7 linked regions of the Coturnix japonica genome follow. Each later gene encodes a partner of the first gene's protein in a complex. Links are inferred from orthologs where the notes say so. Each region holds a gene or a part of one and is shown in the gene's direction. Other genes may lie near its edges.

Region 1 (4,154 bases):
GAGCTCAGCACAGCTGGGGAACCCCAAAATGTTCCTACCCACCCCCCTCTAAACACCGCACGCCCAGACCCTATTCACTCCCCTCCCCGCTCAGCACCGGGTGCGGACCCCTCTCCATTTCCCAACAGAATCCCAACCCCAAAAGGCATCCAGAGCTCAGACAGCATCCCCCGAGTGCTCCCCCACCCTAAAGTCCCTCGACCGAGCCGCCTCCCGGAGCAGAAGTTCCCCCCTGGAGGATCACACAGACATTTTGGGGGGGGGGGTCCCCCACCTGCTGCGCAGCCCCATATGGCAGCACCGCTATCGGGGCTCCCCACCTGCAGCCCCCATTTCTCCCCATCATCTCCGAGCCCTCCCACCCCGCTTTGTTCCCCTCCCCCATTGTTCCCGACAAACCCAAACCCACCATACCCCCGGGTCCGCCGCCGAGCAGCACAAGGGCTGAGCCCTCCCCGTGCTGTCCGTTGCTCTGTCCGTCCGTATCTCCGTCGTTCGCTCCGTCCCTTCCTCGCTCCGTGCGCGCTCCCCCCGCAGCCCCTTTTATCGCGCGGCCGTGGCGGCGATTGGTTCCTTGCGCGGTGCGGATCCGAGCGCCGCTCCTTTGTGTGCGGCCGCCTCTCCCTCACCCGGCGGCCCCCGCTGCCCCCACCCCAAAACCGCATCGCCGGCCCCATCCCACCGACCCCCCTCCCCAACCCCCCCATACCCCCCCCATACCCCCNCCCCCCATACCCCCCCCATACCCCCACCCCGCATTCTGCCGCCCACCGTGGGTGCGATGCTGCGCTCGGGGTCGCGAAGCAGCGCTCGGGGTGCGGGTACCACCCAGCGAGCGGAACCGCGATGGTGGATGGGGTTCTGTAGGGGTTCTGCTGGGGTTTTGTTGGGGTTCTATTAGGGTACTGTTGAGGTTCTGCTGGGGTTCTATTGGGGTTCTGCTGGGGTTCTGTTGGGGTTCTGTAGGGATTCTGTTGGGATTCTGCTGGGGTTCTATTGGGTTCTGTAGGGGTTCTATTGGGTTCTGTTGGGTTCTATTGGGTTCTGTTGGGGTTCTGCTGGGGTTCTATAGGGTTCTGTTGGGGTTCTATTAGGGTTCTGTTGGGGTTCTGTTGGGGTTCTATAGGGGTTCTGTTGAGGTTCAGCTGGGGTTCTGCTGGGGTTCTGCTGGTGTTCTGTTGAGGTTCTGTTGAGGTTCTGCTGGGGTTCTGCTGGGGTTCTATTCGGGTTCTATTCGGGTTCTTTTGGGGTTCTATTCGGGTTCTATTGGTGTTCTGTTGGGGTTGCTATGGCGACTCGCAATTCACCCTCCACGCCTGCAGGTGGCGCTATGCGGCCCGAGTCCTCCCGTCCAGCAGGGGGCGCTGTGCGGCTCTGCGCCCATCTAGTGCCGCTCTGTCTTGAGGCGGCGGCTCAAGATGGCGGAGGGAGGCTCAGTGTGCGGCTTCGTGTTCAAGAAGCGGGGCCTGGCGGCGGGGAGGGGGCGGCGGAAGCGGCCCAGCAGCGACCAGGAGCAGGGTGAGGGGCTGACGGGGGTGGTATATCCCGATGCGGCCTGTTGTGGTGCACGAGGGAGGCGGAGGAAGGCCGTGGGTCGTACAGCCCCTCAGTGGGGCCCGGTTATTGAGCTGTGTGATTGAGGGGCGCTGCCTCCATCCCCGGAGCCCCGCGGTCAGGCCCATTAAACCCCATTAAACCCCATTAAACCCCATTAAACCCCATTAAACCCCGCAGGGAGCAGCGGCGATGAGGGCAGCACCGTGGTGAGGAAGGAGCGACGGAGGGACGCCCCCAACCCCATGATCCAGAAGGTGAGGTGCACACAGGGCGCTGTGCTGTTGTTGTGTGGGGCACATCCAGCCTTCACACCCGCTGTCTGTCTGTCTGTCTGTCTGTCCGCCCTTCAGACCAGGAGGTGCACAAAGGAGCGGCCCTCATACGCCCTGAGCAGCAGCGATGATGATGATCCGTCGAAGGAGATCGGAGTCACGTACAAATCAACAAGGTCGGCGGTAAGGACTGAGCGCAGATGAGCTTCTGGGGTGGGGTTAATCCCATACTCATATCCCATACTCTGCTTCTGTAAATGTGCCATCAGCTCTTCTCAGTTTTGATCTGTAGCTGTGTTTCCCTGTCCCTCCCCTCCTAACACACAAGCTGGGTTTATTCTCCTGATATTCTGCATTGTTCAACAAGGAGCTCAGAGCAGCTCTGCTGGGAGGAAAGGTTGAGGGAACTGGGCTTGTTTAGCTTGGAGAAGAGAAGGCTCCGGGGAGACCTCATTGTGGCCCTAATACTTGAAGGGCAGGGCAGCACGTTCTTAGGAGGAGGTGGAGCCTTTGGGGTTCCAGAAGCTTTTGGTGTGTAAGATGGGTTTGTTTTTAATTTGAGGCTGGTTGTAATTATTTGGTTTCTGTGCAAATGAAGAGCTGACAGAACCTCAGAGCATTTGTCTGTTCACTGTATTCACAAGGAACCAAGACTAGATCACTGAATTAAAACAGAGCACAGGCTGCCCACAGCTGGGTTAAAAGTTCAGATATAACATCCTGCCTGTGGGCTGGGTGGTCTCATGGCTGAAGCACTGAACATGAGAGACCTGAGATCAGTTTCCAGCTAAGACAAGATGAAGCTTGAAGGAGTAAAGTGGGGATTTCTGTGTCCTGACTCTGCAAACTAAAACCTGGGAGCAGTCAGTAATTAACATCCTGTCTTGCACAAGTACTAGGCTGGATGCTAAGAGAAGATGCTAATAGAAGTTAGAAACTGCTGGAGGGTGAAGCAGGCCATGCCCAGCACTTGTTCAGTGACTGGCCCTCCAGGTAGCCGAGGGGTTTCTGTCTCATGCAGCCTTTCTTTTTACTGTTATCACATATTGTTCTTGCTTTTCAGAAACCTGTTGGCCCAGAAGACATGGGGGCCACAGCAGTGTATGAACTGGACACAGAGAAGGATAAAGATGCCCAGGCCATCTTCGAACGCAGCCAGAAAATACAAGAGGTTGGTCAGCCTCACTTCTAAGAGTTCATGCTATGCAGGAGTGTGTGTGCTTACTCATCTCCTTTTGCATGCCAAGACCTTGAGTCTTTTCTTGCCTGCATATTTGAGAGGTTGGAAGTGTTGTCTATGTAAATGGGGGGACTTGCTGGTGTTATTGACTACTTGGTATTAAGGAAGGTATGGCCAGGAGGGGAGGTTGGTATGGGAGAGATAAAAGCTCGCTTGTGACATGAAGATCTTCTGACCCCTAATTGCCTTTTTTTTTTTCTCTTCTAGGAACTGAGAGGAAAAGAAGATGATAAAATTTACCGTGGTATTAACAATTACCAGAAATATGTGAAGCCCAAAGACACGTCAATGGGAAATGCCTCTTCAGGAATGGTCAGGTAGGTTGGGACGAGCCTGGGATGGGGGGGGTGGATCATAGAACCACAGAGAATTTCAGACATTGTCCCCAGGGGCACTTTTCTGGGCTGAAATGATGCTGTTTTTGGAGCTTGTTCCTATCTAATGAGTTTGGTGTCTGGTTCTGGCCGGGCCCGCAGGGGTTTTCTCCATTGCAGTGACACAGCTGGACTGAGCCTTCTCCCACCCTTTCAGAAAAGGACCCATCCGTGCTCCAGAGCACTTGAGGGCCACGGTGCGGTGGGATTACCAGCCAGACATCTGTAAGGACTACAAGGAAACAGGGTTCTGCGGCTTTGGAGGTGAGTGGGTCTTGCCTGCAGGGATCCAATCCAGATGGTGAGCCCAAGTTTTGTGGCATGAAATTGCACAGTTAGTAATTCATGGGCACCTGTTTGCAGAGTTAGTATTTCCTCACCTGAGGTTATGTAGGTGGTGGGATCTCCTTTTCCTTTTCCTATGTGGGTGAATGCTGGAGCTCTTGCTGTGGCATCCAGAACGTGATGCTTGTGGCCTGTTGATCCTGAGAGGGCAGGATGAGGCCCTCTCTTGGCCTCATCTCTCTTGGCCCTGCCCTGTAGCATGGGTGGGTACAGAAGTAATTGGGTTTCACCTTGTACTGAGCAAATCTCAGGCTGCCCCTGGATGAGGTGTCCTTTGAACAGCTGGGCAATGGGGGTAGATTGTTCATCCCTCTTTTGTGCTTTCCAGACAGCTGCAAATTCCTCCACGACCGCTCAGACTACAAA
Region 2 (3,595 bases), on another chromosome or scaffold:
CTCTTAAATGTGTTTAGAGCAAGTCTTCATGCTCCAATTTCTCTCATCCTCAAAGGGCTCTGCCTTCTGGAAAGGGTCAGCGTGGTTCAAGGAGTCCCTCCAATCTCTCAGATCATCGCTACCCAGATGAGAAGGGATCTCCCAAGAAGGTAAGGGGTTTGTCTTTCCGTCTGTGCTGAAGATTGCTTCCTCTGATAGCAATCATTAACAGTGTGATGGCTTACAGATGGTAGAGCAGATATATAGCTTGTAAATGCAGCTGTGCCACACTGTCAGTTTGCCATAAGACCACGTGTGAGGTAGATGGAAGATGAGCTCTGCATGAGCACTCTGTATTTCTGGAAGTCTGTGGAAGCTGTTTGCAAAGATGGCAGCAAAGTGGCTTTGTAACAGAGCTGCCTCTCGTGTAACTTCCCCTTATCATACCTGTGAGTCACTGGGCAGCTCTCAGCCAGCAGTAAATGTGATTCTTGTTTGATTTGCAGGCCAAGATGATGTCTGGGGTCAAAGCTGGTTTGGTGTCAGCTGACGTGCTGCGGAAAGAGCAGCAGGAGCTCAGGAAGCAGGAGAGAAGTAGCAAGCACTTGGAAGGTAAAAGTCTGAAACCAGTGCACAGACATCAGCTTTTAGTCTGCTTTTGGCTGCCTGTTAATGCTGTATCAGGGCATGTCTTAAAATGCTGGTAGTAAGGGTGTTGATGGAGAGTGTCTGTGTTGGCTGGCATCCAGGCATGCTGATGAATATACACAGGTAAAAGCCACTGGGTCTCTAAAATAGAAATTTATGAGTGGTGATTTCAAAGAGGTGCCAATGAGACAATTGTGAGGCTTTTGTGTCTCATCTGCCCCATCTGCTATTCCTGATCTGAAGGAGCAGGCTGTTACACCTATAGCTCATTGCATGAGCTATGGAGTGGTTTGGAAACTGAAATATTCCCACGTGAGTGACTCAGGATATCTGTTATCCCTAGAGGAATCCCGACACACGGAAACCATCTTCCGCGACAAGTCAGGCCGCAAGAGGGACCTTGTGCAGGAACGTCTTGAGCAGAAGCAGAAAGATGAAGCAAAGTTGTTGCATGATGAGCAATATGCCAGATGGGGAAAGGGGTAAGGTGTCTTGGTGACATGTCACTTTACAGGTTGCAGACTGGGGGTTGGCAATGAGTTTTGTGCCTGGGACCAGGTTATTTTGTGTGGGATTACCCTGTCTGTTGCTGGGTGCTTCTCAGGGATGCTACACACAGTAGATTCTGATCAATACTACAATTTGAGCAGATGGCAGTAAATTATTCCTTAGTTTTGAGGTGGTACTTTGTATGTGTTTTTAGATTAGCACAGGAAAGGCAGCAGCAGCAGAATGTGGAAGATGCAATAAAAGAAATGCAGAAACCATTGGCCCGTTACATTGACGATGAAGATCTGGATCGAATGCTGAGAGAACAAGAGAGAGAAGGAGACCCCATGGCTGAGTTCATCAAAAAAAGAAAAGCCAAAGAGAACAAGGAGAAGAAAGGTATGGAAAGCTGTGCTGGTGCAGGTTTTAATGCCCAAGGAGCATAGAAATGCAGCTGCTGTTCAGTGAACAGTGTGAGGTTGCTGTGGCAGCTGAGTCCTGAAGATTGCATTGTAGTAACCAATGTCTGTATTGCTGTTTTTGTCTCTAGAGAAACCTAGGTACAGTGGACCAGCACCTCCTCTCAACAGATTTAATATATGGCCTGGGTATCGCTGGGATGGGGTGGACAGGTAGGTATTCCTGATACACTGATGTCATTGAATGGTAGTAAAACTAAATGAGCTTTTGCCTCAGAGAGCTTACAGTGAGTGAGATGCAACTTATTCAACCTTAACACTTCTCATGGTTATGAATGGCTGGTAGGGACATGCTTGTCTGGGACAAAAGGGAGCCAGGTTCTGTTCTGATCTGTTGTGGCACTGCCTGCTGTTTGCCACAGCTCAGAGTGGAAACTCAGCTGGAGGTGTTGATGCAAAAGTAGTGGCAAACATGTGATGTCATTTAAAAGCTTTGTGGCTTTAGTAGATGTGCACGGTAGCCCATGGTCTTGTTGGTGTTATTTTGTAGGTCCAACGGATTTGAGCAGCAGTTCTTTGCCAGGATGGCCAATAAGAAGGCAGTTCAGGAGCTGGCATACAAGTGGAGCATTGAAGACATGTAGATAGAAGAAATAACCATGTGAAACAGCACGACTGAATTGAGATCTGCCTGCTACCACTGCCAGAGCCAAAAGTAACGGCTCCTCTGCCTGGACCAAGCACTGTTCTTGGCATTCAGTATCCCAGTGGATTGTCTTCTTGGAAGCAAGGCTGTGTTTAGAGGAGAGCTGCTGGAAAAGGATTTTCCTGCCAGCCAGAAAGGACCAGTGCCAAAAACTGGAGTGGCTGCTGCCCACAGAGGAACACTTCTGCTCCCTGGTGTTCCTTCATGAGGTGCTGCAGACACTGGTGTCTGACCCACTTATTTCTTTACTAATAAACTGTAGAAACTGTGTTGAAATGTTCTATGCCAAATGCTTTGTCCTCTGAAGGCAGTTGACAGGTCTTCAGATGTCCTAAATCTCAGGTTTATTTCATGGTGGAAGCATGCTGGGATTTAAGTCATGGAGGGTTAATCCTATCTGGTGTGTTGGCCTATTGCAGCACACGGTTGTGGTTTCAGCTATGGCTGAGTTCTTCCAGAGGGTGTTTTTTGCTCTGAAACAACTTAATACTGTGAGCTGATTTACCTGTGGGCTCATGTTATGTCTGCCCCATGTTCTCCATGTCCTTGCTAATGAGCCCAGAGAGCTTCTGCTTGTTCAATGTTGTGTAACTCTTAACCCTTCTGGTTCCTGGAGTCTTTGGCTTGCAGTGAAGTTAGCACAGCAGAGCTTCCTGTAGCCCTTATGGGAGCTGTGCCAGGTGGGTCAGTATGTGGCAAGAAGCTGCTTGCTGTACATATAACTCTAGTTCTCTACTAGAAATGGCTGAATGAACAACACGCCATGTTATATTTGACAGCAAAGTCTTCAGAAGCTCCAGCAGCTCCTTGGGGGTCAATTTCTTGTGGCAATAAACACGCAGAGGCCATTTAAACTGTTTCCCTTGGCCATTATTTTCTTCAGAGTAGCTAATGGTCATGGATTAGTCCCTACAGCTTTCTCTCTGGACAGCCTTGCTGATGGCTCTTAGCGCTGCTGCCTGGGGGCTCGCTTCAGCACGAAGCATAACCTCTCTCTTGTGATTAGATTTGTCCAGCTTGCAGCTGGAGGCCAAGCAGAGCGCTGCGCTCCATCCCTGATTGCAAGAAAGCATTTCTAACTAAAAACAACGGGTTGGTAACAGACATTGTATGGAAGGGTTACATAGCAACAGCATCGGAAGGTTGTGAGCCTGAGATGCTCTACCAATGAGTGTCACCACTGTACCTCACAACTGAACGCCACCGCTGCAAGAAGAAGCTCCCAAGCTGCTCCACCGGACCCTTTTGTTTAGAGAGCATGGATCTCTTTCTTTATTGTCTTAAGCTGTTTGTTTGGTCTGTTATCTGAGCTTCAGGTGGCAGTTTATTGATGAGCATCCAGATGAAGTGAAGC
Region 3 (4,059 bases), on another chromosome or scaffold:
CTTCACCATTCCAATTCAGCTTGTTCTCAGCTCTGTATTCTGTGCCAACAAAAAGTCATAGGTCAAATGGGTAAAAAACAGACACAACCAGGATCTCTAGGCAGTGATTTCTTACAAGCCCTATGGATTTCAGCCTCTTCTACTGCCATGTCTTTTTGTGAGTAATTTTTTAAGGTAAGACAGCTCACAAATGACACCATCTGTAAAAGGGCCAAAGAAGAGAGACAAAACCCAATCTATATCAAGAAAATCTGCAATATCAGTAATTCATCCTTTGTTATTTCTTTACAGGCAGTAGTAGTGGTTTCAGTTTCAGCAAAGCCCAGATTGCTTGATGGACTGAAGTGCTTCCGCTTGGCATTGTAACTTCAAAGACAATCCAAGTGAGTTAATCATAAAAGGCTTTTCTTAATGACTTTACCTTCGATCTGGTACAGACCCTTGGAAACCTTTGCTAACACAGAGTCAGCTCTGCTTTCAGATGGGGATAAAAAGCATTCAGCATCCTGGGGGCTGCTGCAGTTTCAACACAGCTTTATATGTAAAACTTTATGGACAATGTCTTGCAGTTTTAAACTGTTTTCTCACTGAGTTACGGCTTATTGCAGCAACAACGCGGTGCACTTTCTCAATCACGTCACTGGGTTTAATCATAACTTTGAAAGCTGGCACACACCCATTGGTGTACTCAGTGTTTGTTAGCAATGTTGATTATACTTTAGAAGGACAAACAGCCCCTCAAATCCCGCTTGAAGGAAGTAATGTAAGCATTGGCGGTGTGTTATGAGCTGTGTTATGAGCAGGTCCATTCTCTGTTACCATCCAGGGCCTTCTAACACCACAACTCACTGTGGATGTCCCTGTTCTCCATACACTATGACTTCAAAGGTAACAACCAGGCCCAGCGCTGCCCGCTTCTCATCCCCACCCCCAACAGAGCTGTCACGGCCCGACCCGCGGCTGTAAACAAGGCGGAGCACTCTCAGCTCCACCAAGTGCTTGACAGGCCGCCCCCGATCCGAGGCCCCGGAGCTGTCACTGACCTGCCTGCGGAGGGGGCTCCCCCGGCTCCCGGGGGCTCCTCATGACGGCGGCCGCCCGCTCACTACCCGCCCCGCCGGACTTAGGGCCGCGCCATGCCCTGCTGCGGCGACGGCTCCTCCCGGCTGCGGAGGGGGCGGACCCCGAAGCGGCTGCTCGGAGCTGGGAGGGAGGGAGCTGCCTTCGGGAGGAACAAAAGTGCAGCGGAACCATCGTGATAAGGCAGCGAGACCCTGAGGGACAGGAGCAGTAGCAGGATCCGCTCCTGTGCCCTTCCGATTCCGGGGCTCTGTGCACGGCGGGAAGGCGGCGGCCATTAGGGTGGTTGGTGGGAGGTGAGTGTCGGTGGGGGTTTGTTATAGGGTCGGTTTGTTATGGGGTGGGTCTGTTGTGGGGGTTTGTTATGTGCCTGCAGCTTCGTAGGGCGGCAGATGTGGGCTGAGAGGGTGGGCTGCCCTCAGCCTTGGGCCGGGCCTTGGGATAGGCGTGTATTGCCAAAGCACTGAGGCCTTTGTTCAATGGAGCAAATCGGCTCCTGTAGGCAAAGCCGAACTGCAGAACGACTGGGAGTTTGTTTCCTTTATTCACTTCTATGTTGTGCTCTCTGTCCCAGGAGTAGAGCCGCAGTGTTGCAGCCATGTCCATCGGGGTGCCCATTAAAGTCCTGCACGAGGCAGAGGGCCACATTGTGACCTGCGAGACCAACACTGGGGAGGTGTATCGTGGGAAGCTCATTGAGGCTGAGGACAACATGAATTGCCAGGTAAAAGAAGTTTATCTCATCTGTTTGGAAGTGGTTGCACTCAGCAGACTGACAGCGGGATTTAAAGACCTTTTACTTTTAGTCTTAGGATAAATAAAGCCCTTTTACTCTGTGCACTTACAGTAATGAAGTGAATTCCAGATTACTGAGCACACCAAATTGCTCAGAATTGGGATTTCCTGTTCCTGGTTCCTCTGTGAGCACCTTCTCTTCAGCAGTTCTTTGTTTATTGCCTGTTGATAATAAATAAACTCTAATTTATGAGCTTAGAGCTGTGCTTAATGCAGAGGACTTTAAGGCATTGCAATAGCCTTAATTTTGATAACTTCATGCAAGTTGTAGTTGAAATAAAAATGTCCTTAATAGCTGGGACCAGTAAAACTTTATTTAAACTATCTGAATAAGAAAACAAAACTAATAAAACTAATTAAGCAAGTGGGGAGGAGGGGAAAATAGTGAGTTTGCTTAAATTTTAGCAAGCTTTAAGACTGTGTTTAAATGGTTATAGATGCCTTATATAACAATAACAGTTGAAGGCTGTATGCTTGATAGGGCTTTGAGTTTATTACTTGAATCTTGGCTATATATATATTCCATGAGCAGGAGTAGTGGGAGTACAAAACTATGTTTAAGGCCACTTAAAACAAACTGTGTTTGAGACCACTGTCTGATCTTTACTTTCCAGATGTCCAACATAACAGTGACATACAGGGATGGGCGAGTGGCGCAGCTTGAGCAGGTGTACAGAGGCAGCAAGATACGGTTTCTCATTTTACCAGATATGCTGAAGAACGCTCCTATGCTAAAGAGCATGAAGAATAAGAACCAGGGCTCTGGAGCTGGCCGAGGAAAAGCAGCTATTCTCAAAGCTCAGGGTGGGTACAGTGTGTTTGTGGTCTGGTGTTCCCTCTTTACCTTCCTGTTTTGCTGTACAGAAACTGAGATGTTTTCATCCCTAACACTAAGCAAAGATGAGCTGTAAGAAGCTGAATGAGTGACAGCAGTCAAAACTCAGACTGATGCACAATACTGATACTGCAGATAGTTCAGGAACAGTAAGTGGCCTTGCTAGAGTTAGGTAAAACTTCACCTTTGGTTTTCTGTAAATGTGGTTGCTGCCTGTTTGGATTACCCAAAGTATGATGATCTAAGTATTCTTAAGCTTAAAAAATATATATTTATATATATATTTATATATATATATATATATATTTATACATACATATATATATACACACACACACACATATACGTACACTTGGTTGATACTTTAAGTTTTTTAAATGAGTAACTGTTAGCCATTCTGCAGTTCATCCTCTTTAATACCTTTTTTGTGTGAACAGTCTCGTTATAACAAGATCAAGAAATAATCATGGGCTCTGAAGCCCTTGGTTAACTCTACCAAATGCAGTAAGGATGTGTGGGGGAGTAACATCTGACAAAATATAGCGAGTTCTGTCACGCTGTATGAAGAGCAGGAGGTCTTAAATCTCTCTGGCTACAGATTCACACAATTTAAAGTAGGAACAATGGTGTGTTACTATTTCATTGCTCTTAATGCATACTCTGTTATGAATAGCAAAGCTGTGTAGTTGTTAGTTACAGTTGTTTTCACAGAAAACTTCTATTTACTTTTATCACTTCCCAGGCCTCATACTGTAGCTTAACTTCTGTGCTTCTAAGGAAGAGACTGAGAGTTATTGATGTTTGGTTTGTCACTTGTTGAGATAAATGTGTTGCATCAAATTCATGTCATCCCTGATGTTTTCTTTCTTCAGTGGCTGCAAGAGGAAGAGGCCGTGGTATGGGTCGTGGCAACATCTTCCAGAAGCGAAGATAATTTTGGTCTTGACCAAAATGCTTTTTTTTTATTATTATTATTAAAGGGGCTCTTAACTTGTCTACATATATGTTGGTAACTTCTGTTTAATAAATGTTTCTGACAAAACCCTGTCTGCTGTTATATGACAGAGCTCCTCTTAGGCACAATAGAGTTCTGGCTTCTTTCTGTAGCTGGCAAATACGTTGGAGGTGGATTTCAAAGTGCGTTGTCTAGAAAACAGTGGACATGGATTTGATTTCTTTGTACTTTTGTGTGATGCATTGAGTTTCAAAGATCATCTTGCTTCCTTTTTGTTCAATACTGCTGTAATTTACCCTCTAAAGAGTTAGAAGTTATTCTTCATGAAGAATTTTTAATGTTGTTTTAAGGTTGTGTTATCACCTGCATTTACAGAGCAAACAGTCAAACTGAG
Region 4 (4,120 bases), on another chromosome or scaffold:
CCTGAGGTTCCTTCGTGGAGGCGGCGGAGGCGGCAGCAGTGCGAGGTCGGGACGGAGGGACAGGGCCTGATGGCGGGGAGGCCTGTGGGGTTCCCTTCAACGGTGAGGCCTGAAGGGAGAAAGCGGTGTGAGCAGGATGGGTGAGGTGTGAGGGCTCCCCCCGTCCCATTCAGAATCACAGAAACACAGAATTATCAAGGTTGGAAAAGACTTCACTAGGAGAGTGGTGAGGCCCTGGAACAGGCTGCCCAGGGAGGTTGTGGATGCCCCGTCCTTGGAGGTGTACAAGGCCAGGTTGGACGGGGCCATGGGCAACCTGATCTATGGGGTCTCTATGGGGATCTATGGGGTCTCTATGGGGGTCTATGGGGTCTCTATGAGGATCTATGGGGTCTCTATGGGGATCTATGGGGATCTATGGGGGATCTATGGGGTCTCTATGGGGTCTCCTGGGCAACCTGATCTAGTAAATGTGTATGTTTGGTGGCCCTGCTTGGCAGGGGGGTTGGAACTACATGATCCTTGAGGTCCCTTCCAACCCGGGTCATTCTGTGACCTAGAAGATCATCTAGTCCAACCATTCCCAATACTTCCCAGCTAAATCATATTCATCAACACAACATCCAGATGTTTCTTGAACACTCCCATGGTCAGTGACTCCACCACCTCTTTGGGCAGTGCATTATAATGCCTGACTACCCTTCCTGAGAAGCAATACTTCCTAATATCCAGCGTGACTCTCCCCTGACACAGCTTAAAACCATTCCCTCTACTTCTATCATGGATTAGAGGCTCACTACAACCTCCCTTCTAACTTCTAACTAAGGGAGTTATAGAGGGCTATAAGGTCTCCCCTGAGCCTCTTCTTCAGGCTGAACAACCCCATCTCCCTCAGCTTCTTCTTATAAGTCCCCATTATGCTCCAGACCCCTCACCAGCTTCATAACCCTTTTCTGAATGTATTCTCAATGTCTTTCTTGCAGTGAGGTGCCCAAAACTGAACACAGGGGGACAATTACCTCCCTGTTGCTGCTAGTAACACTGGTTTTGATACAATATAGGATTCCTTTGGCCTTCATGGGCCATAATATCGGTTCATATTCACTCACCTCTGGTGATCGCTTCTCAGTACGGCGACTCACCAGCATGGGCGGGTTATAACGCAGCAGCGAATCGGGCGGTGGGATCATGGCGGCTCCTCGGTCGCTATGGTTATAAACGCCGCTCCGTTGTTTGTTCTAAAGGCGCATGAGCGTTAGGTAAAGATGTAGTTCCGGGTGGTTGAGAGAGAGGTAACACGGATGTGAAAACGTAATTCCGGTTGTGGGGGGAGTCGGTAGCAAGATGGAGGCTGAGAGTGAGAGGAGGAGGAGGGAGAGAAGGAGGGGGGAGATGGCGGTGAAGGCCGAGAAGCGCAGCCCACGGAGCTGCGGGTCCCGTTCGGCTTATGGGAGCCAATCCCCCCCCATTGAGGAGCGACGGGGCAGGAGCAGCAGGTAGGAGGCCTCATAGGGCCTTATTACGGCCCTGTATCGTAACCCTGAGGTTCTGTGCATTTCTTGTGTACTTGATTTAAAGGTCGCCTAAAAGGAAGAGTAAATCCGGCCGGAGGAGCAAATCACCGCGGGGGAGGAGGAGCAGGAGTCCGCACCATGGAGGTGTGAGGGTAAAGCAGGTAAATGGCGTTGGGAGAGGCCAGGCCCCACAGATCCCCATAGAGACCCCACAGATCCCCACAGAGATCCCATAGACACCCCATAGAGCCCCATAGAGACCCACTGAACCCCATACAGACCCCATGCAGACCCCATAGAGCCCCACAGACAACCCATAGATCCCCAAAGACACCCCATAGATCATGTTGCCCATGGCCCCGTCCAACCTGGCCTTGAACACCTCCAAGGACGGGGCATCCACAACCTCCCTGTGCAGCCTGTTTCAGGGCCTAACCACTCTCCTAGTGAAGAACTTCCCCCTAACATCCAACCCAAATCTTCCCTCTTTTAACTTAAAACCATTTCCCCGTGTCCTGCTATTGTCAGCCCTTTCCAAGAGTTTACTCCCCTCCTGGGAGTAAGTTCCCTTCAGGTATTGAAAGGCTGCAATGAGGTCACCCCGCAACCTTCTCTTCTCTAGGCTGAACAAACCCAACTCCCTCAGCCTGTCCTCATAGGGGAGGTGCTCCAGCCCCCTGATCCCTCTAGAATAACTCTTAAGGAAGAGAGAGTCTTACAGTGTAACATCTCCTTGCTCTCTGCTTCGTGTTTTCCTGGAAAGAACTGAGTGTTTGTACCTTTTAGTGAGCCCAGCCCCTGTTATTCCTGTAAGAAAATGAGTATTTGTGCCTTTAAGTGAGCCCAGCCTGCAGGCTGACCCTGAAGGCTGATGTTATGATGCATTGCTCTCTGTCAGCCTTGCATTGTTGGGCCCAAGTTGTGGGAATTCACTTTGGAAGGAAATAAATAAATCTAGATATACACGTACCATGTTACAGTCTGTGTTTTTCATGTGTTTTCTGTCTTCTTCCTCAGGAACGAGACGATCATCCTCACAGAGGAAATGAAGAGAGAAAGCAGAGACACACGTCAGAGCAAGAACACAGACGAGATAGAAGCGGTGACAGAGACAGGCACAGAGATCACTCAGACAGGAGGAAAAAGGAGGAAAGACCTGGAGGTCGAGGCCATGAGAGAGAAAGAGATGTTCAGAACATCCGTGAGCAACAAGCAGAGAGGGAGTTCTATAACGAAAGAAGACGAGAGCATCGACAGAACAACGAGGGGAGCGGTGCTGAGCAGAATCCAGAACACAAACAATCTGATAACAAACCAAAAGATAAAGCTGTAAACAAAGAAAAACCAAGCTTTGAACTGTCTGGTGCCCTTCTGGAGGATACCAACACTTTCCGAGGCGTTGTGATTAAATACAGTGAGCCCCCAGAAGCTCGGATTCCAAAGAAACGATGGCGTCTCTATCCATTTAAAAACGATGAGTTCCTGCCTGTCATGTACATTCATAGGCAGAGTGCTTATCTCCTGGGCAGGCACCGCAGGATAGCAGATATCCCCATTGATCATCCCTCCTGCTCAAAGCAACACGCTGTGTTCCAATACCGGTCAGTATCGCTCTGTATCCCTCTGGTAGGTGGGGATTATTTGGTCGCTTGCGTGCAAAGGGAATCAAAGAACGTATTGGATGTGCACAGATTAGAAAATGCATGTTTGCTCAATGGTTTTAGATAGGTGGAATTTAGGTATGGATGTAACATATATGTAATTCCTTTTTGTTTAACCATAAGCAGCCTCGTGACTCTTAACATATATATAATTCCTTTTGGTTTAACCATATCTAGACTTTTAGTAAGAAACACAACACAACAGGATGAAATACAGAACTGCCTGTATATCTGAATTGGAGTTATTAGCAGGTGGGATTGGCAATAAAGAACGTTTAAAGGAGGGTTTTTCATTTGTTCCTTCCCAACAAAGGCTGCCGATCTCCTTTATAAACAGCAGGGTTGTGTGCTTCAGGAGGCAGAGCTGCTCTCTTAAGGAACAACCATCTGTTCTGCTTCAGGATTTACTATGTTATATGATCATAACTTTAAGGGGTGAAGCAGTCTGTCAGAATCTTGAGTATTTCCGTGCCCTGTCTAATTATTCTCATTGTACTTGCTCAGATCTTTGAAGTATGGTTAAGTATTTACAACAGTGGGGCTGATGTGTTGAAAAATCCATGTGTTATCATTGACTTGATGGGTTGTTTTTGTTTTCTAGGCTTGTGGAGCACACACGCGCTGATGGCACAGTTGGCCGCAGGGTAAAGCCGTATATCATTGATCTTGGTTCTGGCAATGGTACTTTTCTAAACAACCAGAGGATTGAGCCTCAACGTTACTACGAACTGAAAGAAAAGGATGTATTGAAGTTTGGCTTCAGCAGCAGGGAGTACGTCCTTCTCCATGAATCATCTGATAAATCAGAGGCCAACGCAAAGGACGATGATGAGGAAGAGGAGAAGGAGGAAGAGTCCGATAGTTAACAGACATGAAGGCAATTGGGGATGGGGGAGCAGGGGAGAGGAATCTTTTACAATAAAACATGCATTGGGATGGAGATGT
Region 5 (4,156 bases), on another chromosome or scaffold:
TATAGGGTTCCCTATTACAGAGGGGTTCTGAGGATGAAGAGGGATGAAGACCCACATTCAATCCTTTGTTATATAGGAATCCCCATTGTGTGGGTATCTTCATCCATCCCATTTTATGGGGTCCCCTCACCTGTCACATAAACAAGCCTCCACTGCACACGTTGGTCTTTATCTTTGGTATATATGTTTATATATGAGTTCCCATTCCCTGTTATACAGCTGTCCCTGATGCAGCAATATCCCAATTCCCACAGTGCTCCCCATTCCATCCTCACAGCTACAGGTGGGATCCATACACACAGATAACGGTGACTGAGTGCCACCCCATCACACAGCACGACCCTCCTCACCCCATTACCCCCCTCAACACATTATAAGGAGGGAACCCCCATTGCCACATATGGGGGATTCCCTTTACACAGGGTCCCCATAGCCCCCTATGGGGTTCCCCATCATTACACAGGCCGTCACCCCCATATTAACCCCCTCAACACATTATAAGGAGCTCCCATTGCCACATATGGGGGGTTCCCTTTACACAGGGTCCCCATAGCCCCCTATGGGGCTCCCCATCATTACACAGGCCATCACTCCCCCATTACCCCCCTCAACACATTATAAGGAGCTCCCATTGCCACATATTGGGGGGTTCCCTTTACACAGGGTCCGCCATAGCTCCCTATGGGCGTTCCACCATCATTACACAGCCTCACCCCCCATATTAACCCCCTCAACACATTATAAGGAGCTCCCATTGCCACATATGGGGGGTTCCCTTTGCACAGGGTCCCCATAGTTCCCTATGGGGTTCCCCATCATTACACAGGCCGTCACCCCCCATTACCCCCCTCAACACATTATAAGGAGGGAACCCCCATTGCCACATATGGGGGGTTCCCTTTGCACAGGGTCCCCATAGTTCCCTATGGGGTTCCCCATCATTACACAGGCCGTCACCCCATAGAGACGCCCCACGACCCCCCCTCACACCTCGGCCTACACCTCAGGCCTCCCCCCTGCCCCCACACGGGGGTCTCATCCCCCCCACACCCCCTTTAGGCCCCGGACCTGGACGAGCAGCTTGACGTAGAGCAGGGGGTGGCTGACGGCGGCGAGCCCAGCGCCCAGAGCCACGAACAGCCCCTCGGTACCGTCGGTTCGGCCCGGTCCGACCCCAGGCCCAGACCCGCCGCCAGGGGGCGCCAGCGCCACCGAGGGCAGCGGAGCTTCGCCCGCCATGGCCCCGCCGCCGCCACCACTGCGCATGCGCCGCCTCTTTGCGTATTGGTGGGCGGGATCTTAATGCGAGACAGCACTGGTGGGATCTGCGAGCAGTAGAGACGCGGTCCTCCCGCTTTCCTAGAGCGGCAAGTCTTCCAGCGTCCCTTGCGCGTTCCCGCCTTGCTCAGCGGCTTCCGGTGTTCTCTGCGACTTCCGGCGGAGCTTGTGGTGGCGGCGGGCAGGGAGTAGCCATGGCGTATCGAGGGCAGGGCCAGAAGGTGCAGAAGGTGATGGTGCAGCCCATCGTATCCTTGTCCGGAGGGGCAGGGGACGGGCCTGCGGGGCCTATGGAGCCTATGGGGCCTATGGGGCCTATGGGGCCTATGGGGCCTGTGGGGCCTATGGGGCCTATGGGGCCTGTGGGGTCTATGGGGCCTATGGGGTGTGTGGCCCTATGGGGGAATCTATGGGGCCTATGGGGTCTGTGGGGCCTTTGAGGCCTATGGGGCCTGCGGGGTCTCTGGGGCCGAGTGGGACCTTTGGGACCTATGGAGCCTGTGGGGCCTGTGGGGCCTGTGGGGCCTGTGGAGCCTATGGGGTCTATGGGGCCTGTGGGGCCTATGGGGTCTCTGGGGCCTGCAGGGCCTATGGAGCCTATGGGGTTTCTGGGGCCTGTGGGGTCTCTGGGGCCGAGTGGGACCTATGTAGCCTGTGGGGTCTATGGGGCCTATGGAGCCTATGGCGTCTCTGGGGCCGATGGCGAGTGGAGGGTAGGAGCGGCCCTGCAGGGCCTTGTGTCTCTCTGGAGTTGTTCCCGTCCTTAACGCTGCTCTACAGAACCTCATCTTCCGCTACCTGCAGAACGTGAGTACTGGGGCCGGGGCAGGGCTGGGTTCGCCTTTGGGTTTGTAACTTCTTGGCTGCTTTTGGAGCCCATCGGCTTCAAACGAAGAACTGGTGCTGTTTGGGAGCATAAGAGCTGGCTCAGAGATGAGCGTTCTCCCTTTGCATTAACACCTTTGTATGTTGATTGTGCCCCTGTGTGTGTAACACACACTCAATAACCCACACCTACAAGGTTCTGTGTTGGGAGTTGCTCTTTGGGGTGTTTCAGAGCTGCAGTGGCTGTTGGTTGCAAAGATTTCTCACCACATTACTAGCAAGGCTTTCTTAAATGCACAGAAGCAAAGACCAGCATTGCTTGAAGCATTTCTTTTCCAGTTTATTCACCCTGATTGTTTTGCAGAGGTCCAGGATCCAGGTGTGGCTTTATGAGCAGGTGAACATGCGGATAGAAGGCTGCATCATTGTGAGTACCAACATGTCCATGTGTTACCATTGGCTTTCCCACGTTCATGAGTCTGTGTGCTACCAACTGAGTGTTTTTGCCACTGATTTTCAGGGCTTCGATGAATATATGAACCTGGTGCTGGATGATGCAGAGGAGATTCACTCCAAAACAAAATCAAGGAAGCAGCTGGGTATGTCAACGTGTTATAGCATGAAAGGTGGTTGGGTGAGCCTTGCTGGTAGCAACACTTAAAGGTGGAAAGCACATGCCAGGTGTTGGTTTGGGAGAGCATTGGGCAGGTGCTGGCTCAGTCTTTGTTCCTGATGTTTGTTAAAGGTGATGATTTTGCTGAATGTAAAGGAGAATCTCCCTGTGCCTGAGACCAGTTGTTATCTTTTAAATGCTGTCTTTGTACAACTGAGGTGTCTGGAGGAGTCTGGTCCAAACTCCTTTGGGCTGTTTCTAAACTTGGTAGCCCTGAGCAATTCTCGTACCTGCTGGGTCAACTCTTGGCCAAAGCAGGAGCCACCTGACTGGTGGTATTTACTATTTACCGCTGCTGGAGAAGATAAAGCTGTCTGTGATGAGGGGATGCGTTGATTCGGATTGAGTTTATAGCAGGGACAGTGTTCTGCTGGGGCTGAGATGGTGTCTGAGAGTTGGGAGTGGATTATGAGTATGGACCCTGCCCTGCTATGCTTTCCATATGGGGCTGCCAGCAGGGATAGGACTCATTGCAACCCTCCCCCTCTATAATAGGGGCATCTTCTTGCAAGCATCTCCTGTTGTGGGATAATATGTGAAAACATGAGGTATTCTTGGATTCTGGGATCTCTCTAATCCCCCATTTCCTTTCTGTGTTGCAGGTCGGATCATGTTAAAAGGAGACAATATCACTCTTCTACAAAGTGTTTCTAACTAGAAATCGCTGTTCTTAGGGCAGTGATTGCAGTTCAGAATGGTTTGGAGTGAATGAAGAAGGTGCAGTGGGAGATCTACCCCTGCTGGTAGATAGAAAGTTACATGTAACTGGCATTGCATGCTGAGCTCAAAGTCCCCTCCTTTTGTAGGAGTGATTTTTTTTGTAGTCTGAAACAATAAGGGATGTATTTCCCAAATAAACATTTTTCACGTTGTCTGTAAACGGAAATCTGCATGGTTTTATTCTCAGCTTTCTATGCTTGGAGAAGGCAGAGAAATGTACATCAAGTGATTTGCTGTTGGTCCGATAAGTTCCTGATAGCTCTGTGCTTTTTGGGTAGTTACAACATGAGACAGGACAGGCTCTGGTGTCACTGTCAGGCTTGAGCATGCATGGCTCTAATTAAGTTTGTTAGAGGTTCTACGTGCAATTACCACCCTTTGTTGTCAAAACAGCTGGTTCCTTGGGTGCTTTCTGGTGGATCAGTGGGTTGGTGATGGATTTGAGGCTGTGATACAGTGATCCGACATCACAAACTATATTAATAGCTGTACTTTGGTAAAATATCATCATTAGATAGGGCAGCTGGTTGGGATTAAATCTATAATTTCTTCTTTGGGCAGCATCTCTGCATTAAATCCTAGTGCTGGGATGTCAGATGTGGCTGGATTTTATCACTATTATCCATGTAAGGATCTGTCCTATTTAAGTTTCCATAAGTG
Region 6 (4,276 bases), on another chromosome or scaffold:
TGGCTAATAATTCCCACAGTGGGGCATTTTTGCCTAACACTGGATGCAGATACTGAGTGACATATAGCCCAGCAGCTCATCTGCATGTAAATATCACATGGCTAAAATTAATTGCTCTGTCAGAGCTCAAAGAAACCATTTGACTCTGCAGAAACAATAATTCATCCTCAGGGACGAGCTTGTGATAGAGAGCGGCAGAACTGTGTGCTCCTCAGTGCCACCCATGCCCCCAGCACCCTCCTCCCTCCCTTGCTGAGTGCCTTTCAGCTGACATCATGTTGTGGGTGGGGAACTGCTCCAGCACAGCCCCACGGGCAGCAGCTCCCCCAGCCCTCCTGCCCCACTGTAGGCTCCTCTCCACAGGCTGCACCCTGGCCTGGGGCTGCTCCGCCTCCAGGACTCTTCCACTGCTGCACAGTGGGCTCCTCCATGTCTGCATACGGAGATCACAGAATCACAGAATGACCCGGGTTGGAAGGGACCTCAAGGATCATGTAGTTCCAACCCCCTGCCTGGCAGGGCCACCAAACATACACCTTTACTAGATCAGGTTGCCCAGGGCCCTGTCCAACCTGGTCTTGAACACCTCCAAGGACGGGGCATCCACAACCTCCCTGGGCAGCCTGTTCCAGGGCCTAACCACTCTCCTGAGTGAAGAACTTCCCCCTGGTATGATAGAGTGCGAGTGCGCGTTGAGGATGCCTAAAATATCTTTCCCTCTTTTTAATCTCTAAAACATGTCCCCCTTAGTCCTGCTATTATCAGCCCTTTCGAAGAGTTTACTCCCGTCCTGGGAGTAAGTTCCCTTCAGGTATTGAAAGGCTGCAATGAGGTCACCCCACAACCTTCTCTTCTCCAGGCTGAACAAGCCCAACTCCCTCAGCCTGTCCTCATAGGGGAGGTGCTCCAGTCCCCTGATCATCTTCGTTTCCCTCCTCTCGACCCTTTCCAAAATCTCCATGTCTTTTTTGTACTGAGGGCTCCACACCTGGACACAGTATGAGAGATGCGAGATGTGCCTGTGGGCTGCAGGGGGATGGCTCGTTCCCCTGTGAGCCTCTCCTGGGTGCTTAGGAAGGGCCTAGTTCAGGTTCTGTGCTTATTTTTGCAGGGAATTCTTGCTGACTCGTGGATTTTTCTCTGTTGAGAATAGTCACAAGGTCTCTTCCTCATTGCAAAGCCATTGGCAGCCATCAGGAAGCAAAGGCAGACAGTGGAGCAGGAGCTGTGACTGAGCACAAACAGCCAAAGAACCAGCGGGGTGGGAGGCAGCCGGGAGGAGCTGGGATGACTCTGTAAGCACACAGAAAAGCAGCAGCACAAGGGTTCTATGGCAGCACAGCAGGGTGTGTGTACTGCTCACAGTCATACACGACTTTAAAGCACAGCTCACACGCAGTGCTGCTGTACCTCAGGGCGGACAGCAGGTGCCACTCAGGCACCAACAGCGTCTATTTCCACTTCATTATCGAACATGGCGGACTCAATTCCGCACTGAGGTAACAAGTTTTTCCGCCTTCCATCTCTATGGTAGTTCCTCCTTCCGCCGCTCCGCTCTGTGGTGGCTGCGCGGCGCCTTGTGGGTAGAGGGCGGGATGATGGCGGTGGCGTAGGGCCCGGCTGCTCAGCGGGAGGAGACCCCGAGGTCAGAGAAGGGGGATTGAAGGGATTAAATCGGGGCTTCTGAATGTGGAGGGTCGGCCCTGGGGTGGTGGGCAGCCTGGGGGGACACCGGGAGGGAGGTTGAGGCCGTGGGGCGGCCTGGACGGGCCTGGGAGAGCGCCGATGGAGGCGGCTCAGCCGAGCCGGCGTTGTGCGGCACTGACGGGGCTGCTCCAATGCTGCGCTGATGGAACCTGATCGGAGCAAACCCCTGGTTGCCCCCAGCAGCTCAGGCTGCACAGGGCTCATCCAACCTGGCCTTGAGCAGGGATGGGGCACACAGCTCTATGGGCAGCTGTGCCAGGGCCTCACCACCTTTTGTATGTCTCTTATTTAAGTCCTTAGGCTGTGCTTATGGATGTGTGTAGTTTCGTTTAACAGACTGAAGATGGCACTGATGGGTCATCCAGGGTGGTTGGTTGGTTTGATTCTTTTGTTTTGTTTGTTTCTTGGTGGACTGCCCTAAACTTTTGGCTCTATGGTTTGGGTCTGCGTGGCCTCCAGCTGCTTTGTGCAGTGCTGAGCACTTCTTGGCATCAGTTATATGGGAGCCATAGTGGTGAGGCTGGTCTCTTTTCAGTAGTGTGTTGGGACAGGACTAGGGGTAATGGGATGAAAGTACAGCATAGGAAGTTCTGCACGAATGTGCACAAGAACTTCTTTACAGTGAGGGTGACGGAGCACTGGAACAGGCTGCCCAGGGAGGTGGTGGAGTCTCCTTCTCTGGAGATATTCAGGACCTGCCTGGACGCCTACCTGTGCGACGTGGTGTAGGGAGCCTGCTTTGGCAGGGGGGTTGGACTCGATGATCTCTAGAGGTCCCTTCCAACCCCCACAGTTCTGTGATTTCATTATTAGATCCTGTGTTTTTTTCCAGAGGGGAAAGAATTACTCTTCTACCAAGATATAAGGATAGGAGACTGGCTCCTGGCATTTTATCCACTTCTATAAACATGACCTCACATTCTTGATTGAGTCTCTATCATCTTTCAGGCATGTTGGAAAAGAAGCTGTCAGTAAAAGAAGCTCTTAAGCTTTAAGGCTCATGCACCAGTTGATAATTTGTATTGTGTAGTGGGATTTGCTGTTGCTGCAGCAGTTCCAAGAATGACGTAGCTTCTGGTGAATGGCTTTCACTTTAAGTTATAGTAATGACTGTTTTTTGCCCTTGACTCTAGTAACTAAAATGACGACAGCAGCGAGGCCAACGTTTGAGCCTGCAAGAGGAGGGAGAGGAAAAGGTGAAGGAGACTTAAGTCAGCTATCCAAGCAGTATTCCAGCAGAGACCTTCCCTCTCATACTAAAATCAAATACAGGTAAGTATCGTTATTGTCTGTCTTATAGCAAAGCAGCCTGGAGCTGTTTTGTTGTTTTCTTTCTTTGTGATGTGACCAACACTCTGAATTTCTTTCACGTTAGATATTTGTTTGCTTGACATTAAGCAGACACAGAAGCAGGCTTAGGAGATTGAGTGGGTTGCAACTGATTTGGAAGGTTTAGTTTTAGTGGTGTCAATAACTGCTTGTGGAAGGGAATCAGGAGAAGGTAATCTTTACAGATTAAGCATTTCAGGCAATGGAGTGAAAAGAAAAGCATTGGGAACATACAGAGACAGCTGAGCTAGAAAGGTGGTGTGACTTACAAGATGGGATAGGAGGTATGAAGTTGAGTATGTCATATATTGGCAAAGAACCTGGGGAAGAGCACTAAGAAGAGGCAGGGCAATGTGTAACAGCACTCAGGCATTAGTAAGTATTGGAAGAGCTGATGTTAAACACTAGAAGGGTTCTAGAAGAGCCTGTTGCTTTAACTGGTGTGAAAGATAATGGGATTTTATATGAATACTATCCTGTGTTTGGAATGCTTAATAATTTATGTTCTTTTAAGATAGCATGAAATCTGGAGTCAACATGCCACAGGATTTAACTGAGTTGTGTCAGCCTGAAAATAGTCTTTTTTTCTAGCTTAAACTGTTGCTTGGGTTTTGCTTTCTTAGTGCAGATATTTACCCTTTCACTGCTTCCCTTCCACCCATTTGAATAACTTTGAAGGTAACATGGATACGGGAGGTGGGATGTTCAGAGATCACCAAAAGCAACAGCACAAAATGTGCTATTAAGGGAAAAGTGGCTGGTGGTCTGTCTCTTTAAACAGAGCGGGAGTGTGGAGCACCAGTCTGTTGTTCTGAAATGAGTGTGTGGGAAGAAATACATACAGGAATATACGATGTGTGTGTGGTAACGAATCCCTTTGAGTGAGTGTGTATGTGTGTGTGAAGGGGCATTAAGCATCTTAAGTTCATTCTCCCAAATATCAAATACAAAGTTGTCTTTGCTAATTTGCCAAGGGCTGCATAATTGCAAGAAAGATTTGGTATTTCAGTCCCACTCTCCCGTGCCTCTTTGACAAAAGGCCTGGGGGGGATTTTTGCAGCCATGTCAGGGATTCTGAATTCAAGTTTTTAATTGTAAAAGCAAATGAAATGCTTCAGCATAAAGACAGCTTGTGCACGCAGTGTATTTCTAATGACTGGAGCCTGGGTTTCTTTCAGACACTCTTATTTCCAAACCTGAGTTCACAGCAAGGTGAAAGGAATTGCTGCATGTTGTTATT
Region 7 (3,963 bases), on another chromosome or scaffold:
GAGGAGGTGTCACCCTAATGCCATGTTGCACTTGGGAGCAGCTTCTTGCTTTTCATGCATGATGTAACACACTTTAAAAGGAAAGGTTTTTTTCTTTAAAAAGCTACAAAATAACATGTGCTGGTTAACAATAAATGTGTGTCTTTAAATTTAGTGCTTCCAAGCTGTATAAAAAACAAGTAATCCTACTTGAGGACCAATTTTAAACTATTTTGTCACTTATTTTATATGGTTTGTTCAAAACCAGCCGTGAAACTTGCTTAAGGCGCTGCACATTGTTTAATATTTCCTGTAAGTACAGCTGTATATTCAGATTGCAGTTATAAAATGTAAATGGGGGGAGAAACGTGTAGAATCTTAGAGCTAGCACAGTTGTTGTTACTGAGGTTAGAACACAAAGCACTGATACTCCAGTGTTTCACTGTGTTGTGACTGAAACTGTGTACAGACTTTTGCAGTTATCTGTTCATTTTAACCTTGAATGTTGCTGGAGGCTTCTGGTTCTATGTGAGCATAACCTGCACATAAACATCAGTACTCACCATGCCTCTGTCTGCTTCTCGATGCTGTGCTGGGAATACCAATTGGTGGTTAACTGGAAACTCCTCTCTGACTTCATTTACCAGTGTCACCTCTGTCATAGACTCAAAGTGCAGGAACACCATAAACTCAGTATGTAATGGTTCTTACGGCTCTCGGGCAGCTGCCCTCTCAAACTTGGTTCTTTGCGGTTTGTTTAAAGCAAAACATAAAATAACAGATTTCATGTGGAAAAGAAGAGCTGTGGTGTGTGTGTAGGGATGGAGGGAGAGACGTGGGTTAACGTGGGTTCTCAGAGCTGGAGGGCAGCCAGATCTCAGTGCTTTACAAAAAGAGTCTGTATTGCAGAAATCACAACAGTGTACTCATCAATGATAATAAAAGGTCTGATTTTTCTAGATCCTGGCCGCTGCGTTTGTGTGCCTGAGCTCCTTATCAACTGCTTAACGTAGAAGCATCGCTGGTGCGGACTAGACTATTTGCACACAGCTACAGTGCTTAGATACGTATAATCCCGAGCCCACCATTCCAAAATGGCGGCAGCGCATCCCCTCAGTGCCCGCCCGCCCTCAGCCCCGCGCAGTCGCGCTGCGTCCCGCCCCTTCCGCCGCGCCGCTTCCGCCCATTGATCGCAGCCGGCGGCGGCCGCTCAATCTCTCGGGGCTCGGTGCGCTCGTTGGAGGCCGCGTTCCTGTCCGCCCGCGCTCGCGGCGCTTCCGCCGAGGCCTTTTCGTGCCCCCAGGGGCGGCCGCCGCTGCCCGCCGAAAGCCCCGCGGCCGCCGCGCCGTCCCGCCGGCGCAATGAAGCTCGTCAGGTGAGCGGATGGAGGCGGATCGCGGAGAGAGGCGGCGGGGAGCCCGCGCAGGCCGCCTCCCCCTCCCCACACACAGGCCGCCCGGCCTGTCGGGGCCTCGTTGCGGCCTGGGCTCTGCGGCGAGCGGCTGGGCCTGCGAGCGGGGCTGCCCGGGAAACCACCCCGGGGGGTTGGGGGCGGAGCCGGGTGGAAGCGCCTTCACGCGGTGCCGAGATCCAAAATGGCTGCTGCTTAGCTGGTGGTCAGAGAGCAGCCCGAGTTGGACGGGATGCACGAGGGATCCCGAACCCAACTCACGCAGGGCGCTCAAAACACAAACCCTGTGACTGGAAGCGTTGTCCCGACGCTGCTTGAGCCCGGTGCCACCGTTTCCAGCCCCTGGCAATTGGGCGCCGTTTGGGGCTTTGGCTTTGCCCCATGGAGCACCTTCAGTGCAGTTCATGGCAGCTGAGAACGTTTGCGTTAGGATGTACATCGATCGGTTCCCCGTATCAGCATGTGGTTGGACATAAGGCTTAGTGTGACAGCAAACACTCTGTGCTTAATTCCTAGGTTTCTGATGAAGCTGAGTCACGAGACTGTGACCATCGAGCTGAAGAACGGGACGCAGGTGCATGGCACCATCACAGGTACGGTGTGCCAGCAGCCTCCCAGGCTGATCTGAGCTGTGTGGGGTAAAGGAAACCGGTGCTGGCGTGGCTGGTGTAAGTGTGGTAATCTGAAATTACTGCAGCAGCATGCAGGCATTGTGAGACAGTGTCACTGCTGTATCAAAGGGCAGTGGTCATACAGCCTATCCACTTATGTTTCAGAACATTTTGGGGCTGGAACTTGAAGGTCCCTTCCAACTTAAACCGTTCTGTGATCTCATTGGTAAAGCTGCAGTACACTGTAGTTGCATCAAGAAGTCACCACTGAGTCACTGGCAGAGAGATATTTTTCTAACGGTAGCACAGATAAATGGTAAATGCTGAACATGGTTACAATCTACTGAGATGTAAGGGTTAAAAGCACGTTATTTTGCAGCCAGATCCGTCCATTTTGTTAGAAGCTGGCTGTGGTGGCAGCACTCTGTGCCTCCTACCCTTGTACTCTCACAGCCTTCGCTGTTGAGCAAAGTCTCTCTCATGCTGTGCTAAGAACCTGTAAAACCCTGCAGTGCCATCCATGGTTCTAAAATGACAGTCATCCCTGTACATGGGTGTACGAAGCCTGTTGCAGCCACGGTGCCACCTGCAGTTGGTGCTTCTGATGCTGATGTTAGATGTGTTTGATCAGAAGATCATGGTTGTACTTAGAAGGAAACGCAGTGTTATTTTTCTACTCAAAAGTTCGTTTTCTTTCTTTTGAAAGGAGTAAAAAAGACAAATATTATGCTTTTGTAGTAAGTGGCAGTTTATTTGTTGTCCGGAGGAATCATTTTAAGTGTTTAGTGTTGCTATGACTTAAGACCTAGGAACAGATCCCTACAGCTGGTGGTAAGTGGCTCTTCCTTTGGAAATATATCAGTGTTGAGGGCAGCAGCTGATAAATCAGCATAATTAATAGAGGAAAAAAAGATGTAGTTTCTTCTTCCACTTAAGAGGCTTAATTAACAAATGGCACAGATCCAGAAGCGTGTGTTAGCAAAGTCTTGAAGCACGTGCACAGTTAATAATAGCCAAAGAGGAGTCATCCTGTGTGTTCCCACCCCTGAAATCAGCCTTGTGTTATTTCAGGAGTGGATGTCAGTATGAATACTCATCTCAAGGCTGTGAAAATGACGCTGAAGAACAGGGAGCCTGTACAGCTGGAGACATTGAGCATTCGGGGGAATAACATCCGATACTTCATCCTACCAGACAGTTTGCCCCTGGACACCTTGCTAGTAGATGTTGAACCAAAAGTCAAGTCCAAGAAAAGAGAAGCAGGTGAGTGCATGATTTCCCAGTCTCTGCTTGTTTTACTTTGTGTTTTCGTGCTCTCGCTCTGAAGGCATGTGATTGGAAATCTTAATTTCTGTATTGCTTTCATCTCTGAGGGTTTGTACCGAACTCTGCCTTGTGTACCTTCATTGTGTCTGTAGTCTCCTTTCATGAGAAGTTATTTACACAGCTTCTCATGCATCTGTTTTAAAGTGTAAACGTCTTTAAGTGTGAGTAAATCTTAACCTATGGCATTCTCAGAGGCAGCACCAATGGGATGCACAGTTTCTCTTTTCAAAATGTCTGCTCTGTTTCCCTGGTTTCTGTGTGTAACTTTGTATTTAGCCTAATAAGAAAATATAGAGCAGCCTCAGGAGCGGTGCTGGACTGAAATCTCACTTGGCAGTGGATACAAACAATCTGCTGGAGAACCGAATTGAAGGGGCTTCAGAATGCAGAGGGAGCTGAGGCTGTGTTCCTGTGGATAAAGCCCTTAAAGCCTAACAGAATAGGGAATGCTTCTGGTTTTGTTCTGCGCCGTTAACAATTAATATCCAGTAAACTCCACAAAGTTTGTGTCTTCAGGCAGTAAAAGTTTTGCCCAGCAGTGTTAATCAGTGTGTCTTTCCAGAAATAAGTTAAAGGTAATCGTGCTCTAAAGCAACTGCTTGCCATTTCTCCTGTAATTTATGCTTAATTATTTGG

What was found.
Region 2: RNF113A (region 1) and BUD13 share a complex: the UniProt entries of both Homo sapiens proteins name them as parts of the minor spliceosome. The link is inferred for Coturnix japonica from reciprocal best matches to the Homo sapiens genes RNF113A and BUD13.
Region 3: RNF113A (region 1) and SNRPD3 share a complex: the UniProt entries of both Homo sapiens proteins name them as parts of the minor spliceosome. The link is inferred for Coturnix japonica from reciprocal best matches to the Homo sapiens genes RNF113A and SNRPD3.
Region 4: RNF113A (region 1) and SNIP1 share a complex: the UniProt entries of both Homo sapiens proteins name them as parts of the minor spliceosome. The link is inferred for Coturnix japonica from reciprocal best matches to the Homo sapiens genes RNF113A and SNIP1.
Region 5: RNF113A (region 1) and SNRPE share a complex: the UniProt entries of both Homo sapiens proteins name them as parts of the minor spliceosome. The link is inferred for Coturnix japonica from reciprocal best matches to the Homo sapiens genes RNF113A and SNRPE.
Region 6: RNF113A (region 1) and CWC15 share a complex: the UniProt entries of both Homo sapiens proteins name them as parts of the minor spliceosome. The link is inferred for Coturnix japonica from reciprocal best matches to the Homo sapiens genes RNF113A and CWC15.
Region 7: RNF113A (region 1) and SNRPD1 share a complex: the UniProt entries of both Homo sapiens proteins name them as parts of the minor spliceosome. The link is inferred for Coturnix japonica from reciprocal best matches to the Homo sapiens genes RNF113A and SNRPD1.

Annotation. Positions count from the first base shown.
Region 1 is NC_029542.1:2,229,085-2,233,238, forward strand, and holds the start of RNF113A (E3 ubiquitin-protein ligase RNF113A), read left to right. Parts: upstream 1-1,354; 5' UTR 1,355-1,418; coding exon 1,419-1,518; intron 1,519-1,734; coding exon 1,735-1,811; intron 1,812-1,907; coding exon 1,908-2,012; intron 2,013-2,892; coding exon 2,893-3,000; intron 3,001-3,276; coding exon 3,277-3,386; intron 3,387-3,600; coding exon 3,601-3,707; intron 3,708-4,116; coding exon 4,117-4,154. UniProt on the Homo sapiens protein: Required for pre-mRNA splicing as component of the spliceosome. As a component of the minor spliceosome, involved in the splicing of U12-type introns in pre-mRNAs. E3 ubiquitin-protein ligase that catalyzes the transfer of ubiquitin onto target proteins.
Region 2 is NC_029539.1:4,398,579-4,402,173, reverse strand, and holds the end of BUD13 (BUD13 homolog), read left to right. Parts: intron 1-55; coding exon 56-149; intron 150-485; coding exon 486-591; intron 592-970; coding exon 971-1,109; intron 1,110-1,330; coding exon 1,331-1,515; intron 1,516-1,666; coding exon 1,667-1,748; intron 1,749-2,085; coding exon 2,086-2,179; 3' UTR 2,180-3,095; downstream 3,096-3,595. UniProt on the Homo sapiens protein: Involved in pre-mRNA splicing as component of the activated spliceosome. As a component of the minor spliceosome, involved in the splicing of U12-type introns in pre-mRNAs.
Region 3 is NC_029530.1:7,447,982-7,452,040, reverse strand, and holds the start of SNRPD3 (small nuclear ribonucleoprotein Sm D3), read left to right. Parts: upstream 1-1,259; 5' UTR 1,260-1,376; intron 1,377-1,654; 5' UTR 1,655-1,678; coding exon 1,679-1,804; intron 1,805-2,489; coding exon 2,490-2,679; intron 2,680-3,582; coding exon 3,583-3,644; 3' UTR 3,645-4,059. Other genes in the region: protein GUCD1, read right to left, coding at 1,044-1,254. UniProt on the Homo sapiens protein: Plays a role in pre-mRNA splicing as a core component of the spliceosomal U1, U2, U4 and U5 small nuclear ribonucleoproteins (snRNPs), the building blocks of the spliceosome.
Region 4 is NC_029538.1:3,338,498-3,342,617, forward strand, and holds the start of SNIP1 (smad nuclear-interacting protein 1), read left to right. Parts: upstream 1-1,320; 5' UTR 1,321-1,344; coding exon 1,345-1,496; intron 1,497-1,578; coding exon 1,579-1,675; intron 1,676-2,531; coding exon 2,532-3,115; intron 3,116-3,776; coding exon 3,777-4,041; 3' UTR 4,042-4,120. Other genes in the region: DNALI1 (axonemal dynein light intermediate polypeptide 1), read right to left, coding at 1-109, 1,110-1,190. UniProt on the Homo sapiens protein: Required for pre-mRNA splicing as component of the spliceosome. As a component of the minor spliceosome, involved in the splicing of U12-type introns in pre-mRNAs. Down-regulates NF-kappa-B signaling by competing with RELA for CREBBP/EP300 binding.
Region 5 is NC_029541.1:2,015,940-2,020,095, forward strand, and holds SNRPE (small nuclear ribonucleoprotein E), read left to right. Parts: upstream 1-1,366; 5' UTR 1,367-1,472; coding exon 1,473-1,526; intron 1,527-2,058; coding exon 2,059-2,085; intron 2,086-2,467; coding exon 2,468-2,530; intron 2,531-2,623; coding exon 2,624-2,702; intron 2,703-3,378; coding exon 3,379-3,434; 3' UTR 3,435-3,656; downstream 3,657-4,156. Other genes in the region: MTCH1 (mitochondrial carrier homolog 1), read right to left, coding at 1,069-1,266. UniProt on the Homo sapiens protein: Plays a role in pre-mRNA splicing as a core component of the spliceosomal U1, U2, U4 and U5 small nuclear ribonucleoproteins (snRNPs), the building blocks of the spliceosome.
Region 6 is NC_029516.1:165,900,092-165,904,367, forward strand, and holds the start of CWC15 (spliceosome-associated protein CWC15 homolog), read left to right. Parts: upstream 1-1,476; 5' UTR 1,477-1,499; intron 1,500-1,533; exon of another isoform or gene 1,534-1,645; intron 1,646-2,840; 5' UTR 2,841-2,848; coding exon 2,849-2,979; intron 2,980-4,276. UniProt on the Homo sapiens protein: Involved in pre-mRNA splicing as component of the spliceosome. Component of the PRP19-CDC5L complex that forms an integral part of the spliceosome and is required for activating pre-mRNA splicing.
Region 7 is NC_029517.1:39,382,146-39,386,108, reverse strand, and holds the start of SNRPD1 (small nuclear ribonucleoprotein Sm D1), read left to right. Parts: upstream 1-1,163; 5' UTR 1,164-1,340; coding exon 1,341-1,354; intron 1,355-1,906; coding exon 1,907-1,983; intron 1,984-3,072; coding exon 3,073-3,264; intron 3,265-3,963. UniProt on the Homo sapiens protein: Plays a role in pre-mRNA splicing as a core component of the spliceosomal U1, U2, U4 and U5 small nuclear ribonucleoproteins (snRNPs), the building blocks of the spliceosome.